4 linked regions of the Arabidopsis thaliana genome follow. The protein of the gene in region 1 interacts with the protein of each later gene in a pairwise test. Each region holds a gene or a part of one and is shown in the gene's direction. Other genes may lie near its edges.

Region 1 (5,005 bases):
AAAATGGCAAAATCAACAATAATCCCTTGTCTATATGGTGGTATTTCTGCTAAAAGTGACTTATGGGTAGATTTTTTAGCTTCATAGATTCTTTGTCGAAAAAAAATTACTTTGTACATTTTAGTGGAGTTATTTAAATTTCCCAATTGAACAAAACCATATATTGATGAAATTCGCAAATGCAATCCAAAAATAAATATGTTCCACTCTTTTGGTTAGCTTTTAACTAAAGATGCGTTTTACTTTATGTAAGTGGTTGATCTTTTGGCAATGGGGGACAATGACTATACAATCTAAGAGATCATTTTAACGAATATCATTCATATTTCATCCTCTTCTTCAAATTTCAGTTTCACTAATTAACCACGTTTCAATTGTAGTGTATCGCGAGCTGTAAATATTATCTAATTTATGTTACATAATCATAACTGTAATCTTTATTAGACAAAAACATATATACCTCACTGCAAACACCTTCAAACATGGATAACTTGATTTAGGCATACAAATATTATTTCTCATTTATTTGATATGACCTATATTATGTGGCTATTTTATCAGTTTTAGTGTTTTTTATGATAATTGAACCACTTAAATGTTTATCTCATTTTTCAATTTATTTTAAACTGAATTAAAAAGTAAGAAAGTATGATCCAATAAGGCATCGACACATGGAAACCCATTTTAAGGTAGAAGATGCTTTTCTGCGGCTTCTGAAAACAACTAGAAAATGATATGATACGTTGCTTTCATTTATTGTAAGTATTATTTAGTTTTAATTCACGCGCTTCATATCCAGCTGCAAGACTACTACAACTTGCAATTATGAGACTCTCGTTAGAAAATTACCAGGTATAATTTAAAAACAAAAAGAACTAGAATATATTGGCAATTATTTGAAGTAAGAAAATATGAGATTCTTGACCGAGTTGTTAAACTATCAAACCCAAAAGTTTTGGTTAAAAAATAAGCTAGTACTATGTACATATGTTTTATGTTGAAAATATATTAAACTGTATGTAAGAGGGAGTGTACTTTCATTTTAGATATACATTTCCAGCTAGTACGAGGTCTCTATATATAAACTTTCTTAATATCGCTAAACAAATTTTACTTTCAAGTTTGTAATGTGATAAGTGAAAGACCGTATATACATACACATGTTAATCAACTGATAACCTTTGTGCCTCGTGTGTCTAGTTACTAGTCAACCATCAAACGTGCATGATGCTGTTTTTCTTAGAGTACTATTGTTGTGTTATATATAACTAAACATAAACAATTTGCTATTATGATATAAACATAGAATTTTCAAGCAATGATATGTTTAGATGTTTTGTATAAATATTCCATAAATAGTAGACACCCATATATACACAAACATGAATTCTACCTGAGGAGAAACACATAGATGTTCAAATTAAATAATAACCCTATAATGAAAACTCTAAAGTAAGTAATACGAAATAAAAATTTATCCTTTAAATAACATATAAACATATATATACAAGTTTAATTGGTAATTGTATCACAAGAGCCAATTATTTGGTGACTGTATCACACGTGCTTAAAGAGAGCGTGGGAATGAAAGTAAAGAAGAATAAAGAAGCAGAGAGATGGGCTAGAAATGAGAAAACACACCAAACCCTAACCTCACCCTCACACATTTCTTATCTTTTGCTCTCAATAGATTCCATTGATTCAAAACAAAATTTTCATTAAGATTTCACAACCTCCACACACTTCCAAACACAATTAAAGAGAGGAAAAAGAATCAATAACCCTATAAATAAAAAATCAGACAAACAGAAGTTTCCTCTTCTTCTTCCTTAAGCTAGTACCTTTTGTTCTTGAAATTAGGGTTAATTTCTTTTTTCCAAATACCATCAATTCTCCAGACCATAAAAACTCAAAAAGATCAGATCTTTCCTCTGAAAAAGAGATACCCAACTTATGTTTTTGTGTGTCTGTATATAGATAAACATTACATACCCATATTTGTGTATAGACATAAAAAGTGGAAATTAAGGTAACAAAAAGAAATGGGAAGAGGAAGAGTAGAGCTGAAGAGGATAGAGAACAAAATCAACAGACAAGTAACGTTTGCAAAGCGTAGGAACGGTTTGTTGAAGAAAGCTTATGAATTGTCTGTTCTCTGTGATGCTGAAGTTGCTCTCATCATCTTCTCCAACCGTGGAAAGCTCTATGAGTTTTGCAGCTCCTCAAAGTAAACAACTCTCTCACTCTTTATCAGTTTCTTGATTGAGTTTTTGCTAGATCTGAGCTTAGATCTTTGTCTCAAGGACTTGTTATATATAGATCACACGATCTTGATTTCTACGAAGTTGAGTTAATTAGATTTCTTGATTTCATTTTCTAGGGTTTTTTTCCAATTCTTGAAATTTAAGATCTGGTTTTTTTGTTGTCAATGATTTAGAACTGTGAATTTTGTAATCGAATAGATTCCAAATCCTGATATGCAATCTGAAAAGTTTTATATAATTAATATATGTCTGTGTGATTGGAAACTTAAAAGTTGTTCACAGATTTCTATGAAAATTACAAGTATCCAACGTAGAATGATAATATATGGTTACATGCATTAACCATTTGTTAGTTCATCATACTTTATGGTGGTTAAAACTTCAAACGCGTGTATATCTGTGAAGGCTTTGATTGTTTGTTTTTTCTTAAAAACAATGTTTAATAGATTTTTAATTATATGTTAAAATAGTTTTGCTTACATGCATTCAAGAAAATATAGCGATTAATTCCTTTTTTCAAATCACAATTTGTGAATCAAACGAAAACGTAAGATATTGCTTGCAAATGATAGGATTGAACTATTGATATTTGTAAATATAAATACGAAACTTTACGTTTGAAAGTTGAAACAATCAAATCCAAATCAACTCGTATATAATCAGATAAATAATGGAAACAATCTTCAATTTTGATGGAAGAATACTTTAAAACTTGAAGAGCTTTTTTTTTATGGTGATTTATAGGTTTAGATCTCCAAAGTCAAGTATGATCTTTTTAATAAACTCTTATTCTCTCTTTTTGAGTTATTTTCAGCATGCTCAAGACACTTGATCGGTACCAGAAATGCAGCTATGGATCCATTGAAGTCAACAACAAACCTGCCAAAGAACTTGAGGTGTTCTTAATTCAAATACTATTTTAGATTCCTATCATATCATTTCAAGAAAGATCTTTTTTAAAAGTTTGTTTTCGTGAAATATTTCAGAACAGCTACAGAGAATATCTGAAGCTTAAGGGTAGATATGAGAACCTTCAACGTCAACAGAGGTACATATCTGTCTACCTCCGTATATTTACTCAATTCTGTATCCATGTAGATTCATATTTGTAGGTGTGTGTGGCTTTTGTTGGTGCAGAAATCTTCTTGGGGAGGATTTAGGACCTTTGAATTCAAAGGAGTTAGAGCAGCTTGAGCGTCAACTGGACGGCTCTCTCAAGCAAGTTCGGTCCATCAAGGTATCTTTATACATGGAATCAATGATTCAAATGAGATTAATTTGTGTTGTTTAATTATAACTACTATGGTGGTATGATGATTGTTTGCAGACACAGTACATGCTTGACCAGCTCTCGGATCTTCAAAATAAAGAGCAAATGTTGCTTGAAACCAATAGAGCTTTGGCAATGAAGGTATAATTACAGAATAAATGCATTTGGTGCCTTGCGATCAATCTCTTTCACAGAGTTTAAGTTTCTAAACATTTTTGGAAACATCTCTAGTTTTCTTGTTTCTGATTATAGTCTTTTGGTGAAATGTAAATGTTTAGCTGGATGATATGATTGGTGTGAGAAGTCATCATATGGGAGGAGGAGGAGGATGGGAAGGTGGTGAACAGAATGTTACCTACGCGCATCATCAAGCTCAGTCTCAGGGACTATACCAGCCTCTTGAATGCAATCCAACTCTGCAAATGGGGTAAATCCTTTGCCTTAAACAATCATCTGCAAATCAGCTTGTGTACTTCACTACTAAGATTGTACTTATATAAGGTTCTTTAGTTACTTGGTGTAAAGAGGATCATCAATGTGTGTGAACCTTTTAAGTTGCTGTTTTGGTGATGATGATGATGATGACAGGTATGATAATCCGGTATGCTCAGAGCAAATAACTGCGACAACCCAAGCTCAGGCGCAGCAGGGAAACGGTTACATCCCGGGGTGGATGCTCTGAGAGTCATGTGCTGTGTTAAAGCTCACCAACAAAAGATCTTTTATATATATAAAAGTATAGACACAAGACTTTGGATTTGTAGACATAAGTGGCTATATATAATGGTCCTGAGGATCTTCAAGACATTTGTATCTTTTGGGAATCCTTGCTTATATTAAGAATTCAAATGTGTGGAACTTGTTTTAACACTGAACCATGACACTGGTTTATTATCATGTAATGAGAAACATTTGGGTTACAATGTGATCTCTCCTTGACCCAAATACCCAATGTAAACTATATGCCAAAATACAAGCATCACATATATATTCATAAATTCATAAAAGGTTAAAAGTAATCATACAAAATGATGTAAAAAGTTTCATGCCTTGAACAAAACACTGCGCCAAAGGCAAATCCTAAGAAACATGTCAGATTCCTGTGTGCATCTGTTCTGCTGCTGCTGTTGTTTTCTCTCAAGAGGGTTTCCTCAGAACTCCATAAGCCAAACGTGCAGAGAGACGTTTCCTCATTTCCCCATCATATACAATATCATATATTGTTAAAAAATATATTCACATCTCTCTGCTGCCTTGTCAATCTCCCCAGGTCCGGTCTAGGCAGTACAAGACAGGATCAATGGCAACAAGTTACGGTGTTTCGTGGAACTCCATCACCTGCAAATGAGACGAATTCACAGCAGAGAAAAAAATATTCTTTAGTCAACATGAATGAGAAATAATTCAAATGTTCTGAGTTTCAGGAAGAATGATTAGCCATATTTGTCATAGACAAGACAAGTAAAGATTT
Region 2 (5,347 bases), on another chromosome or scaffold:
GAGATGGTTGAGGTTCTCACGGCGACGTCTAGTTCTTGCTCTTCGGGAATCTCGGGATATGGATCAGCAAAGTCGTTGCGAGATATGGATTGTCTTGATGAAGATGATGATGATGATGAAAATTATGGTAATGATGATGGAGGTGATGAGATGATTGATGCGAAAGCTGAGGAGTTTATTGTGAGATTTTATGAACAGATGAGGATGCAAAATCAGGCTTATACAGAACGTTACAAAGCTAAAGAGATGATGATGGTCTAAATCGCACATTGTAATTCTATTCACTGAAGCATAATGTCATATTACATGAGTATACATATATGCATGGAGACGTGCACAGAGTTTGTCTTTGATTATTTCGATGATTTTTTTTTTTCGTCTATTATTTCGATGATTTAAGTAATGATATATATATTGTATTCAGTTAGTCTTGATTGTATACTTTTATAGTAGACGATGAATTTGTACGCAAACTATATTAAAATATATTTATAAAACTGATGTCATTTTGGTTTACTATATATCATCTTCAAGTCATAATGCTAGAACCAAATTGCAGCTAGCTTCTTGTGAGTGATATAGTAGATGATGAATTTGTACGCAAATTATATACATGACTCTGAGCTTCTTTGGCAGTTTTCCTAGGGTGTCATATACATGACTCTGAGCTACAAGCCTTTGTTGTTGTCATATTTCAAGCAATTCGTTTTTTTCTTTTTTTTCTTTTGAACCAAAAACCCAATAATGAGTTAAGTAGAAGTTTATAATTCACTTATGGGTACAATCCAATATAATTTAGAATTTTCCTATTGGTTTGAGAATCCAATTTGCTTGAAGAGAAAATCAGAGACATGGAAGCTAAAGAAGAGAGATTAGAAGTTTATGATGTGGAGAGTAAATTGAATCGGTTGCAATTCGGTTTATTATACTAGATTTTTGGTTTGGCATTAGGTTTATGACGTTAACCTAATAATAAACTACAAAATTTGGTTTTGTGGAGACTAAATTCTCTAACTTTCGATTTAGGAGGATATAATAATTTACCTTCTATTTTGTGTTGACTGTAAACGAAGTTCTAAATCTGTGTAGTTGTGGTACTATGTGAAACTGCGTAGGGGAATAGAGGTCGTTCACTCAAGTTTATAAGATGGCACAAATAGAAAGAAATCAATTTAGTTGTTCTCTCATTTGAAAGGAATTCAAGCAATATGGTTGTTCTCGTCTTTCCAAGATGCATTGAATAGTAAAGCATCTAATTAGTAAAGTTCTCATAATGCTCAGTTGCTCACATTGATCTTTTTACCCCTTTTAATTAGAGTACAGTCTTGTAAATTACGTTGTTTTAGCCAAGTTTGGCCTATGTAATAATTTATTTGGGCTTTAAAAAGCCTCTTCAAATTAGAGTATTGCTGCTGCAGAAAAAGAAAAGAATATTTGCGTGGAGAAAATAAAGGAAAACAAATCCATAATTAGTAGTCGGTGTATACATACCTAAAAAGGCAGAGAGACGTTAAGATTCAAATTTCAAAAAAGAAAAAAAATATGAGTGGCAGGTTCGTTATTAATGATAAAACTTAGGGGCAATATTGGATTAACAACAAGTCTCCTGAATCGTGGCCTCCTAAGTACACGCTCTTGTATAAATACACTCGCATCAAACTCCAAAACCCTTATCACTCTCTCATTAATCGAACTTGGCGTGTTTAAATAATCTTCCGATCGTTAATTCTCTTCCGATTTCGATTCGATTTTAGCGGCGATGTCTCTCAGACCTAGCGCGAAGACGGAGGTGCGACGGAATCGGTACAAAGTAGCGGTCGATGCGGAGGAAGGACGGCGGAGGCGAGAGGATAACTTGGTTGAGATCAGGAAGAACAAGAGAGAGGAAAATTTGCAGAAGAAGAGATTTACGTCTTCTATGGCTTTTGGCTCAGCAACGGGACAAACGGAACAGGATCTTTCTTCAGCGAACCAAGTATGTGATTCTTTCTTTTGTTTACGATTCCACCTTTAGTTTTTTCTGATTTTATGTTCCGATTTGATCAATTAGATCGTCTCTGTTTCATATGAATTTCTAATTGGAGATCGATTTGTTCTAGATTTGAAGTTCTTGCGATGTTTCTTTGTTTTTGGTCATAGATTTTGTATTTGATTGCAAAAACTTGCGATGTGTATGTGTTGTTTGGTGAGAGTATTTGTTACTAATGTCTGTTTAATTGACTGGGAATTTGAGCGGTGTTGAATTTGACATGTAAAGAGAATTAGGGTTGATATCTCAACGGAGATCATCAAATTTACTTTAGCTAGAGGAGATTTTTGACTATGATAGTGTCTCTTCGTGTTACAGTTAAAAGATAATCTACCTGCTATGGTTGCTGGAATCTGGTCAGAGGATAGCAATTCACAATTGGAGGCAACAAATCTCTTGCGGAAACTGCTTTCTATTGGTTTGTGATTTATGTTATTGATCGTTACTAGTAGTACATAACAATCAGTGTTTTGGTTAGAGTCTTTAGCAGTTGTTTTTTCTTTTGTAGAACAAAATCCTCCTATCAATGAAGTTGTACAATCTGGTGTTGTTCCTCGTGTTGTGAAGTTTCTTTCCAGGGATGACTTCCCCAAACTTCAGGTGAGTCGCAGCTGCAGTCGTTTTTTTTTGGATATATTGATAGTTACTAGTTTGATGTATTTGTTAACTTGCTTTTGCTGTTTACTTCTGCAATGTGTTTTAGTTTGAGGCAGCTTGGGCGCTCACCAACATTGCTTCAGGGACATCAGAGAACACAAATGTCATCATTGAAAGTGGAGCTGTCCCGATATTCATCCAACTTCTCAGCTCTGCTAGTGAAGATGTCCGCGAACAGGTATATGTTTAAATCCTCACTGTTATCGTTATTGTCACAGAAGAAACACTTAGACATTAGGATCAAGTGGAAATTCATTGAGACTGTTACCATTCTGAGTTCTGGTCTTTCCCTGACTGAGTATAGGCTGTTTGGGCATTGGGAAATGTTGCTGGAGACTCACCAAAATGCCGGGATTTAGTCCTAAGTTACGGTGCCATGACACCTCTTCTGTCTCAATTCAATGAGAATACAAAGCTTTCAATGCTGAGAAATGCTACATGGACATTATCAAACTTCTGCAGAGGGAAGCCCCCACCCGCATTTGAACAGGTTTCCTTAAATATACACACTTTATTGAATCTCCACAATATTTTTTAACATGCTTCTGATATTTTGTTACTTAAAACATTTTTCGAGCAGACACAACCAGCTTTACCAGTTCTTGAGCGCCTTGTGCAATCAATGGATGAAGAAGTTCTCACAGATGCATGCTGGGCTCTGTCATACCTCTCGGATAATTCAAACGACAAAATACAAGCAGTCATTGAAGCAGGAGTTGTTCCTCGCCTCATCCAGCTCTTAGGGTAAGCATCTGATAGTGATCATTTTAATTTTTATTGCCAGGCATGATTATGTTATCTGATTTATGTGCTTCCTCTTTCTCCGTATAGTCATTCGTCGCCATCAGTGCTGATTCCTGCTCTTCGTACCATTGGAAATATTGTAACCGGGGATGATCTACAGACTCAGGTGCATATAATACATTCACCATTCGATTTCGAGTTTTCAGAAGCAAATGTCTCTAACTTATTTTCCTAACACAGATGGTTCTCGACCAGCAAGCGCTTCCTTGTCTTTTGAACCTTCTAAAAAACAATTACAAGAAGAGTATCAAGAAGGAAGCTTGCTGGACTATCTCCAACATTACAGCTGGAAATGCAGATCAGATACAAGTGAGTTTTGTTTATAATATATGGCATTTAACAAGAAAGTCGAAAATTGAAGTTTCCTGTGTCTGATTTTATTCGAACCCGTATGTGCAGGCAGTGATTGATGCAGGTATAATCCAGTCTCTTGTTTGGGTGCTTCAAAGTGCAGAGTTCGAAGTAAAAAAAGAAGCTGCTTGGGGAATATCAAATGCTACTTCTGGTGGCACTCATGATCAAATCAAGTAAAACCATAAAAACCGAAACGAAATGTTTCCTTAACAAAGAATGGTCATTTCTAAAACACGTCTGTGTTTATTGTTTGTTTCTTCTCAGGTTTATGGTGAGCCAAGGCTGTATCAAACCTCTATGCGATCTCCTTACTTGCCCAGATCTGAAAGTTGTAACGGTTTGCTTAGAAGCACTAGAGAACATTCTCGTGGTTGGAGAAGCAGAGAAGAACTTAGGTCACACAGGAGAAGACAACCTCTACGCTCAAATGATTGACGAAGCAGAAGGGTTAGAGAAGATTGAGAATCTTCAGAGTCACGACAACAATGATATCTACGACAAAGCCGTGAAGATCCTCGAAACATTTTGGACTGAAGACAATGAAGAAGAAGGCAACGACGAGAATCATGCTCCACAATCTGGTTTCCAGTTCGGAAGCACCAATGTTCCTCCTGGTCAATTCAACTTTATTTGAAAGGTAAAATAGTTGAATTGGGTCATAGAAGTTGCTTGGACTTTTAAGTAAGCCACATATCGAACGAAAGTGGTAACATCACAAAGATGAAATATCAATCTTCTCTATCTCTTCATGCCCACTCCTTAACTCGTGGACATGAACTATGAAGAAACATAGTACGATTTTCTTTTCTTTTTGGAAGTTTGTCTCAATAACTAAATCATTTGGGGAAGAGAAACAATTATTCTGTGTTAGCCATCATCTCGTCTTTCAACAAAGTTCCCTTTTTTCATATATTAGTGCCATTACAAAATCGTAGTTATGCCTTAACTAAACCAGAAACATTTTTATTCAATAGTTAATCATTTTTACTCGCAATTTTAGAAAACAGAGAAGCTAGAAATAGTAATATACGCTTGTGGAGGTTTGAGGCAACGGTCAAAACTTCAAGAGCAATATACGCATGTGGAGTTTTTATTGGGTACTTTGGTGTCTAATTACAAATAGGAGAGATTAGTGGTGATTAAGTGGTTATTATCATGGTCATAATTTCTATATGCGAGAAATTAGGGTTTAGGCTATGTGACTAATTCGTGTATTTAAAACACTCTCATTGTTTTATATCCAACAGACAACAAGAACAACAACATAGCCAGATATAATGCTGTCTTCACCAGCTTTTGCTGCAGCACGTTCTACTCTCGGTCGTCGTCTTCATGCGAAGAGACTATCTTCTTCTACTGGTCGAACCGCTGATCCAGAGATTCATGCCCGTAACGATGGAGACGAGCCTAGTCTTTTTCCATCAGACCCCGAGGTATATTTTGACTTTGTTGTTTATATATGTCAAGCTTAGCTGTCACAAGTCACAACTAAATTGTTTGTGA
Region 3 (5,244 bases), on another chromosome or scaffold:
GACCCTGCAAACATTGTTAACCAACTTTTTTCCGAAATTATTGTGAGATTCGAGGAGTTTTGACAAATGTAGGACTTTTGTCGTTCAAAAGAAATGTTTTCATCTAAAACGCGTAAACCTGTAAAAGGCAGCTTCAGCTCTGATTAAACAAAGAGACTTGCAACAATGTCACTATGAGACATTACTGTTTAAAAATAGATTCAGAAACACTAATCAGTTTTCACACTAAAACAACTTTGTCTTCTGCCTTGTTTGTTTATTCCTCTGGATGTTTCATAGATATACCTTTAACAGGGTATAGCAGTTTCAAGTTCATAGATGAAACCCTTTCGCTCACAAATATTGTTTTAAAGCCTTCTTTATGAGAGTTGGATTGGTTCACCACATAGATTCTCTAACTCCTCTTCCAGGAGTTTATGCAACTTTGCTTCAGTTCGCCGATATATCCACGCATTAGCATCACGGTCCCAGTCAAATCTAGAAGGGCCACTGCACCGAGACAAAAGGAAGAATGAAGATTACATTAATGTGAATCTAAGATGTGGAAGCACAAAGTCAAGAGCAACAACACTATACAGTCATAAACAGTTTCATTTCTCCAAATATCATGAGTACAAAAATCAGAAGAGAGAGCAGAACATGATAATCCAGATGCGAAATTCAATCTAGGCGCCTAAAGTTAGCAACTTTCAAAAGGCAAGAAAGAATCTTTACCTCACAGGTGAAGACATCCAGATTTGTCGATTTGGAGTTTGCTTATTCAGTACATAAGTGCCTAAAGATCCAAGCTTAAGGGTAAGAACTTCATTCTGTTGGAAACAGCCAAAAGGACTGACTATAATAAGTACACATAGATTTCCAGAAATATGAACAAGATCTTAAATTGCTTAAAAGAGTTTAATCCTTACCCCATAATCTATGTCGAAACCATCAATCTGAACATTATCACCATAATCCTGAACATGAATCATGCAAGTAGAACATAGTGTAAGCTATTGCAATCTCAAGTAAAACGAAGAACCCTAGAGAGAAAAAGGTTCCAGCTTCAAATACCTCAATTTTCTCAAGAAGGTGATTAATTGTGAAGTTGGCTAATTTGTGAAACTCTTCCTCCTGCAAAACCGAACTGTTTTTTTCTTCCACTTTGTTCATATTCTCATGAAATTAACGATTCAGATACAATAAAGGAGATCAAAATGGAGAATATTAAAGTACCTGTAATCGACAGAAGCAGGACCTTGAGAAGAGAAGCTTCTGGTAGTCAAAGAATCATGGCGGATTCGAGATCCTATTCTCCAGAAGGAATCCAACGGTTCTATGGAATCTTGAATCAGATTGCTTGAAACTCTTACGCCATTGCTACGGAGAAGAGTTGGAGACAGCTTGAGAAACCTCGGCAATTTCCGTAGAAGAAACCTTGAAGCTGTAGCCATGGCGGTTCTGTCACAAGAAACATTCGACGCCTCTCTTCTTCTTATTCCTTCGTTGTCCAATTTAGGCCCACAATAAGGCCCAAATTTAGATTTACCCGGTTCACGTATTTCCCATGTTCCGGTTTACTGAAACCGGTATGGTTCTCAAGAGATTTGTCATTTGTGTGCGAAGAAGAGTTTTCTTCTCCTCTCATAAGAAAAAACCAGAATTTTGAAGAAGGAGAAAGAAAAAAATCTGGGTTTTTGGGAGCTGATTAGGTTTTGTTCCTTCAATCTCTGGGAATTTTCGCTATGCACTCAGGTGAAATTCGTTTTTTCCTCTATTTCAATCTCTGTCTTCCTGCGAGTTTACGTGAGAGAATAGTTTTTAATGATCCCGAGTTCGTCGAATTACAATGCAACTCCCAGTTTTTGTAGTTTTAATTAGCGAAATTCATCAATGGCATTGGAAATTTTAAGCCTTTTTTGGTTTGTTTTATGGTACTACTAATTATTCAAGCTAAGGAATTCCAAAGTTTTCGTTCGTTTTGATTGGGTTTAGAAGTATTTGGCTGATGAGAGAAAGAGCCATAATTCTGAAATTAAACCCTTTTATGTGAAGCTTGTGTAGATGTTTTACCTGAATTTCGGAATTACTAGCAACATTTCTAAATACACAAAGCATGATTGTAAAATGAAATTGATTTTGGTCAGGGCTTTGCATCTCTTGGTTATTGAATGGTGTCCGTGTTTCACTATTATCTTCTTATGTTTTTGATTTTTATGTGCTATTTTCGATAGATTCAGGCGAAGCGACCGCTGATGGCGATAAAGCTTCTACAGAAAACAGCAAAAAACGGAAGCTTAAGACTCCTATGCAAGTTATGGCGCTTGAGAATTTCTACAATGGTAAATTATGGCTTTGTTGTTTGCATATGTTCCTTTATACCAAGTTGTATATGCTTTACAGGTGTGATTTGGTTTTTCTACAGAGCATAAGTATCCGACTGAAGAAATGAAGGGCAAGTTAGCAGAGGAAGTTGGATTAACTGAGAAGCAAGTTTCAGGTTGGTTCTGCCATAGAAGGTTAAAAGACAAACGTCATGTAAAAGAAGATGGGAATGCCATTGGGAGCCAAGATCGGTCAAGCGTTGTTCTTCAGGATCGTGGAAGTGGGCTTCGACAGGATTCATGTGGTAGTACAAAGCAAACGGATTATTGGAACCCCAAGCCTAGGGAAGTTGAAAGTCAAAGGCTTTATATGGGAAATGCTGATGGTGAAGATAGTACATCTTCTGATCGTAGCTCATCATTACGTAAGAATCTTGTCTCTAGCAAAGATGGAATTCGCGATGTGGAAAGTTCTAGATATGTTGCACATAAAGACGTTATTCAGCATCCTCAGTTCATGAGAAGCTATGGGTATAATAAGCCTTCGGGATACTTGAAAGTGAAGGGAGAGAGTGAGAATTTTGCTATCACTGCCGTAAAGAGACAATTAGGAAGACAATACCAAGAGGATGGTCCACCTCTGGGGGTTGAATTTGATCCTCTTCCTCCCGGTGCATTTGAGCCTCAGACTAATCCTATAGTTCACGGTGAGTCATGATAAAATGTTTCAACTTTACCTTTAATTTTCTGGTTTATGATGTTATGAGTATTGAGTAAGTGGCTCAGAGAAGCTAAAACCATCTTCTTCGTGTGTCAGATTGTGAATGCCTTTACCCATGTCCAGTCGGATTTGATTGCTTTTTCTATCAACTGTTTTGTCAGAGCCAATATATGTTGGGAATCAGAGACGGCCTCACCTTCCACATTTACTTGGAACGAGGAAGAGCTTTAATCCTGGTCCTGTAAGTGAACATTTTCTGTATACTACATACCCATGAAGATAATATAAACTAGAATCTTAGTCTGCCATCACATTCTTTGGCTAAATTATCTTACTTTCTTTGAAGTATTATTAATATTTTCGTTTTCTGTCTTAATGTCTTTATAGAGCTATGAATTAGCTCGTAAATCAAAGTTGCATTCGCCAGATCCAGATTCAGAGGATGATGAGCATGATGATGATGACAACATAATGGTTGGAATGGAGCCTGGTCTAAGAGATAAGAAAAGTTTTGGGGAACCAAGACTGAAATCCCCTTCTACCAGTTTCTATAATTCTGTACCTCGCCACAAATCGTTTAAAGAGACATTCAAAGGTTCACCACGGGAAATCCCTGTAACTAACAGCAAGAAGGGTTGGATAAGTTCCAAAAGTTGGGCTGAAGGGTCGAGAAACCATCTGGTTGCCAACGTCCAAAATCTTTCTGGAAGCAATATTGAAACCAATCAGTCTCATGATTATGATAATAATATATCTAATGGCGGACGCAAGACGGGATATCTCACTAAATCTTCGAAGCTGTTACCTCCGAGTAGAAGCAGATCCCCTGAGTCAATGGATAGAGGTCCATCTTCTGGGATGGTAAAGATTTGTCTAATACTTCCATGTCTACATGTTCCTTTCTTGCCCTTTTATGGAAATATGACTTGTGTTTTGTGTGATATCTTCTTTTAAAGGCAGGAATATATCACGGGGAGAGGAATCAAATGAAAATGCAGAGAGAGAAATTGCATTCGACTGATGAACCACCGGTGAGTTTGATGGTTAACTATCTTAAAAATATAGATATTGATGTATATTTTAACAAAGTTTAGAGGCTCTATCAAGTTCGTGTTCTGACCTTTAACGAATGTTAATAGGTTGCCAAACGAGTGAAACATGGGTATATTCAGCAAGTATATGCACCAAAATCATCATCATACAGCGAGATTCTTGAACGAAAAAGCCAGATAAATCGGTTAGTAACCAACCATTGTGTAATGCATTTATTGTCCCAAAGAGATATCAAATCGGCTTATTGGATCATACTGTTATGTTTGTAGGTCTGGTGTGGAACTGCCTTCTAGTTTAAGCGGGGACGATGAGACTGACGAATCTAGCTCGTCAATGGATTAAGTAAAGAAAGGTACAAAGGAAGATTAGGAAATTCCGGTTTGTATAGATATATGATGAAACCGGTTTAGGATGTGAAAATGTTGCATCGTGTAATTGGTAAAAGTTAGAGCTCTCTTCATTTTGGTAACTAAACGGTCCCCAAAGAGATACAGTGAGCCAGTAATGAGCCTTTTTTTGTTTAAATTTGCTCCTAAACCGTTACCGGTTTGACCGAATTGAGTATGTAAATCCCAGTGATTACAAAATAACCAAAGTAAGGCCCATTTATTAATAAAGCTCAAATTAGGCCCAAAATATTATGATAGTCCGGTTTAGTCGTAAAAGGCGGTTCGGAAATGTGTGACTAGGAGATTTCGTCACATGAGAAAAAATCAGAGCCGTTGACTAGTTTTCGTAGAAAGTATGTGGTACAATTTTGATTCGGCCAAAAAAGGTTTTTTTCTTTTTCTTTTAGGGTTAGCGTTGCTTTGCCTCAAACTCAAATTTTGAAGATAATTTTTTTGGTTTCTCTGCTACTGATTTCGAATCTTTACGCTTAATCAATTATTCATCTGGATTTTCAAATCCAATCCTTTTCCTCCCTGGTAAGAATCTCTCTTCTTCTTCTTCTTCTCTCTCACGACGATTCCACTGTTCTCCGATTCTGTGTTAGTTCCTGCGATATTTTCCATCACTTGTTCGTGTTTCGTTATTACGGGTTTGTGTTTTGTGAACTTGTTGACCTTTGTGTCTCCGTAATTTCGTCCAACGGTTGATGTTTTTGATTGCTGATTAGATTTTTGTCGGTAGGTATTGAAAAAGATGATCTTTATGGATTTTGTTTTC
Region 4 (4,520 bases), on another chromosome or scaffold:
AATCCTCCTCGCGTTACTGTTCAATCCAATCGAAAACCGCCGTTGAAGATCGCACCACCGAACCGAACCAAGTGGATTCAATTCGCAACCGGAAATCCTAAACCGGAACTTCCCGTACCGGTTGTAGCAGCAGAGGAGAAGAGGCATTACAGAGGAGTGAGGATGAGGCCGTGGGGGAAATTCGCGGCGGAGATTCGAGACCCGACTCGTCGTGGAACTCGTGTTTGGCTCGGGACGTTTGAGACGGCGATCGAAGCGGCTAGAGCTTACGACAAAGAAGCGTTTAGACTACGAGGATCAAAGGCGATTCTGAATTTCCCGCTTGAAGTTGACAAGTGGAATCCACGCGCTGAAGATGGTCGTGGCCTGTACAACAAACGGAAGAGAGACGGCGAGGAGGAGGAAGTGACGGTGGTTGAGAAAGTGCTAAAGACGGAGGAGAGTTACGACGTTAGCGGCGGCGAGAATGTTGAGTCAGGTTTGACGGCGATAGATGACTGGGATTTGACGGAGTTTCTGAGCATGCCGCTTTTATCGCCGTTATCTCCACACCCACCGTTTGGTTATCCACAATTGACCGTTGTTTGAATTCTATTTTTCTGTTTGGGTCAGCTTGTTGTATGCTGACGTGGAATTATGCTATATCTTTTGCTTATTTTATGTTCACATTCGAGCAAAATTTATTCATTCGTTTATTTGTTTTTTAATACAACTCTTGATATTTCTAAATTCTAACCAATCACCTTATTTAGCGGCTACTGAGACAAAAATCGCATGTAAAGGCGAATCAATATGGAAAGAACAGAGAACACATAACACGAAGCTCCGATCAAATGACTTTTTATCATAGAACGTATTATTTTTCAATGGCATGTAATATGCTCGGATTTATTACCGTAACATCTTTAGCAGTCTCGATTATATCCTATTTGTGACTTAATATTTGAAAGCTCCATGACTCTTTTTTTTTTGCATGTATAAACTCTGACTAATTGACTTTTATAATATCTTGTTTTCTATAGATTGTTTCATTTGATTCATTTCTCATTTGTGACTTCATTTTTGAAATATCTATAAATTTGTAATCAATAATTACAATTAATAAATTAGTTTGGCGGAAAAAGCTCTAATCTTATAATATGGGAATCACGTATATATATTACAATTTCCATATTTTTGCATGGTAATATCTATGACTCTTTTCCTTCTTTTTTTTTTCTTTCTTTAAAACAAAAATGCTATGGTTCTTTTTGCATGGTAAAAGCTTTCCATTTTGATTTTTATACCATCGCCTATACGTCGATCCTTAAGAGTTTCTCTCATCCAATCTTAGACTTTTATACCACAAATCAACTTTTCCCTATATACCACTGCTTACGTTAAGTCATTAATACAGCTAATAGATTATTTAGATAACTTTAATAATCTCTTGTGTGTAAAACTGAATTTTGGTTCTTTGTTTATCTTTTTAGAAATCCGAATCATATCTATATTTACGGATGTGAACACCATAATTCTCAAATGGTATCGCTTCTTTCAGTGAAACCAAATACGAGGCTTCAAATAAATTTTATTATTCAGTATATATAAAAAAATTAAAATGAACAAATCAACTAACAAAAAATTTGAGAGAAAGTATATTGAATATATTTTTTTAAAGTAAAGGGGGGTAAATTGAATATTGAAGTGTAATAATCAATGAAAATTATATTAGTACATACGTGTTAAATATGTAAATACATATATGATTTTTTTTTTGCCAACTAATATTTAGCTTTGACTTTTATTTGTTTTGTTCATTACTTATATGCTTAAGTTTTAACCAAAAAAAAAAAGCAAATCTTCAAAGAAAAAAACTCCGTGTATAAACTTTTCTCGATCATTTTTGCAGTCTCTCTCCCAACCAATCCCATTCTGCTCGACTCTCATGTAAGCTCCGTTTCCTTCGTCTTCCTCGTCTCTCTCGATCTCTCTTGCTCGATTGTTGTACATGAAAACGCACGCGCCCAATTTCAATTATGTTTCGTGGCTTTCCTGATTTGAAATTCGAGCGATTGGATAGATTTTTCTTTTAGAGGATTAGATTTTTGATTGTATGTGTAATTGCTACTGTGTGAATCGAATCCTTGGATCTGTTCTCGTTAGTCGCCAAAGAAGAAGTTGTATACATGTTTGATTGTTTATGTTCGAATTGCTTGAATTCCAATTATTTTGATCTAAGTTATGGAACATTTGATTGTTACTTTTGGTGTTTATATGATGAATATGACCATCAGTTTTTTTTTTTTTTAGTGTTGCAGAGGTTTAGGAAGAAAGGAATGGTTCGATCGTGACTTTGAATTGGGATATTGTGTGTAAAATGTGGGTGCCTACATTGAGCTCAAGCTCATGTTCAAGTGATGAGAGGGATGAGAGCAGTGGAGAAGCCGCGCTTACGCCGGTTTATCTCAATGTCTATGATCTAACGCCTGTCAACAATTACCTTTATTGGTTTGGGATTGGCATTTTCCATTCTGGTATTGAGGGTATGTTTCTTCTCTTTCTCTTTAAGATTCTTGATTGAGATCACGAAAGGAGAAACCTTTCTATGAGTCTGTATATCTGTAAACTCAAGAGAACATTGTCTACTTAGTATGCTTTTGAGAAGGGGATTGTTTCTGGATATAGAAAAATAGCTGTCTTAATGATTTGGTGGCAATACTAGGCTCTTTTGAGAAGGGGATTGTTTGTGGATATAGATGTAGGACCAAGAAAAGTGTTAAACGCTGAGGATTATTTAGTGGAAACTTTCTATGATCCTTTAATAACTTAGATTTTACCTGTTATTTTAGTTATTATTCATTGCTCTCTTTGACACAGTTGTTCAACTTCAATGTAGCTCATAATTTGGAATATTGCTATGGAGCTCACGAGTATCCAACAAGTGGGGTATATGAGGTGGAACCTAGGAACTGTCCAGGGTTCATCTTTAGACGGTCGGTTTTACTGGGAACTACCAGCATGTCCCGTTCAGATTTCCGCTCATACATGGAGAAGCTTTCAAGAAAGTACCATGGTGACACTTACCATTTGATTGCCAAGAACTGTAACCATTTCACTGAAGAAGTATGCTTGCAGCTAACAGGAAAGCCTATTCCAGGATGGATTAATCGGCTGGCCCGAGTAGGTAAAAGATATAATAAACCTTTCTCTGTGTTAAGTTACAAACAAATTGTGTCCTAAATATTTACTCATGGTCTGTTTGAGTTTCAGGTTCCTTCTGTAATTGTCTTCTGCCAGAAAGCATTCAGCTTACAGCTGTTAGTGCTCTTCCCGAACGCCTTGAATTCTCCGGTAAGCTCCTAACTAAGAGAATGTTATAACCAAAAAAACCCCAACTCCTTTGTGATCAAAACAAATCATGAATGGCTTCGTATTTTCCTTATGTAGATGAGGATGAATCAAACTCAGAGGCATCTTCTGTGTCAGATGAAGAAGGATCAGAGCAGCATCTCATAAATGTAGCAGACAGAGAGATTGTGTATCTACAAAACAAACCAGTGCGACTTACCAGAGAGGAGATCCCCTGAGAAACCAACCAGCGACGACAATGTACTTCCTCCTGAATCAACCCAACCAATCATCAAAACTTGCAGAGTGTGGTGTGCCCATGGAAGCTGAAAGGGAGTAAGTTATATATCTCGTTTTGTCACCTTAGTGCTGCGTTGGTTCTGTCGGAAATTCGATTTGGTATTCTTCTCATCATTTTAGGAATGTAAAAACGGATTCCCGGATTCATTTTAATCAGACAACCCTTTGGCAGTAAAAATCTAAAGATTTCTCCATATTTTCCATATCTAGTTACCCCGGTTCTACCCATAAGGCCATAACCATATCGAAAGAGCTATCAAGCTGTTTATCGTTTGTAATAAATTTTAAAAACAAATCGTAATTAAAGTTATTAAAAGAAAGAAACCACAAATCAGTTACTAGGGCAAAAAAACCCCAATTTGTTTCTCAAATTTTCCCCAAACCATATAGGGTTTGCACTGAGAATGGCTGACGCACTTGACGCTCTTAGTTCTCCATGCTTTGATTTATCTGTTGTTATTTTTTCTATGTTTTTCATTGTATGTTTTGCTTTAGCAATTTATTGCTTGCAATTAAGAATCACTTAATATACTTTTTATTTAATATGATTACTAAAACTAAGAATTTATGGTGATTAATCTTGCTTAGAAAATTAAAAACTTGACATATACTTAAGGGTCCCTATATTTGACTATCTTATTTATTTTTCTTTTAAAATACTTTTAGATCAATAGGAAAATACTATACCAGCACTGTATATTAAATTTTGATAACAATTGAGGTCTAAGATTTAATCAATATTTTGACATATAGAAAAGAAATAAATCTAAGTAGAACAAAATATAACAAAATAACATATGTATGTGGTTTAGTTAATTACGCCTATAAATATGCCAAGTGAAGAGACACAACTCTTTTGCCCAAAAAAAAACAGAAGAATAAGAAGACAC

Evidence for each region.
Region 2: the proteins of SEP1 (region 1) and MOS6 interact in a two-hybrid assay, tested with the Arabidopsis thaliana proteins (one large-scale study listed by BioGRID).
Region 3: the proteins of SEP1 (region 1) and AT4G03250 interact in a two-hybrid assay, tested with the Arabidopsis thaliana proteins (one large-scale study listed by BioGRID).
Region 4: the proteins of SEP1 (region 1) and AT4G17486 interact in a two-hybrid assay, tested with the Arabidopsis thaliana proteins (one large-scale study listed by BioGRID).

What each region holds. Positions count from the first base shown.
Region 1 is NC_003076.8:5,150,805-5,155,809, reverse strand, and holds SEP1 (K-box region and MADS-box transcription factor family protein), read left to right. Parts: upstream 1-1,556; 5' UTR 1,557-2,042; coding exon 2,043-2,227; intron 2,228-3,078; coding exon 3,079-3,160; intron 3,161-3,250; coding exon 3,251-3,312; intron 3,313-3,401; coding exon 3,402-3,501; intron 3,502-3,591; coding exon 3,592-3,675; intron 3,676-3,812; coding exon 3,813-3,961; intron 3,962-4,089; coding exon 4,090-4,216; 3' UTR 4,217-4,476; downstream 4,477-5,005. UniProt on the Arabidopsis thaliana protein: Probable transcription factor. Functions with SEPALLATA2/AGL4 and SEPALLATA3/AGL9 to ensure proper development of petals, stamens and carpels, and to prevent the indeterminate growth of the flower meristem.
Region 2 is NC_003075.7:950,015-955,361, reverse strand, and holds MOS6 (ARM repeat superfamily protein), read left to right. Parts: upstream 1-1,671; 5' UTR 1,672-1,759; coding exon 1,760-1,975; intron 1,976-2,347; coding exon 2,348-2,447; intron 2,448-2,537; coding exon 2,538-2,629; intron 2,630-2,732; coding exon 2,733-2,864; intron 2,865-2,990; coding exon 2,991-3,176; intron 3,177-3,266; coding exon 3,267-3,430; intron 3,431-3,517; coding exon 3,518-3,596; intron 3,597-3,670; coding exon 3,671-3,799; intron 3,800-3,889; coding exon 3,890-4,017; coding exon of another isoform or gene 4,018-4,021; exon of another isoform or gene 4,022-4,108; coding exon 4,109-4,478; 3' UTR 4,479-4,816; downstream 4,817-5,347. Other genes in the region: AT4G02160 (cotton fiber protein), read left to right, coding at 1-261; AT4G02140 (uncharacterized protein), read left to right, coding at 5,122-5,277. UniProt on the Arabidopsis thaliana protein: Binds to conventional NLS motifs and mediates nuclear protein import across the nuclear envelope. Acts as a cellular receptor for the nuclear import of the virD2 protein of Agrobacterium, but is not essential for Agrobacterium-mediated root transformation.
Region 3 is NC_003075.7:1,423,326-1,428,569, forward strand, and holds AT4G03250 (Homeodomain-like superfamily protein), read left to right. Parts: upstream 1-1,576; 5' UTR 1,577-1,724; coding exon 1,725-1,734; intron 1,735-2,213; coding exon 2,214-2,321; intron 2,322-2,404; coding exon 2,405-3,010; intron 3,011-3,185; coding exon 3,186-3,265; intron 3,266-3,411; coding exon 3,412-3,885; intron 3,886-3,980; coding exon 3,981-4,055; intron 4,056-4,163; coding exon 4,164-4,261; intron 4,262-4,346; coding exon 4,347-4,419; 3' UTR 4,420-4,737; downstream 4,738-5,244. Other genes in the region: FH (frataxin-like protein), read right to left, coding at 360-489, 715-809, 909-956, 1,054-1,126, 1,216-1,433.
Region 4 is NC_003075.7:9,749,041-9,753,560, reverse strand, and holds AT4G17486 (PPPDE putative thiol peptidase family protein), read left to right. Parts: upstream 1-1,756; 5' UTR 1,757-1,929; intron 1,930-2,292; 5' UTR 2,293-2,359; coding exon 2,360-2,525; intron 2,526-2,878; coding exon 2,879-3,166; intron 3,167-3,252; coding exon 3,253-3,333; intron 3,334-3,429; coding exon 3,430-3,569; 3' UTR 3,570-3,983; downstream 3,984-4,520. Other genes in the region: ERF6 (ethylene responsive element binding factor 6), read left to right, coding at 1-588.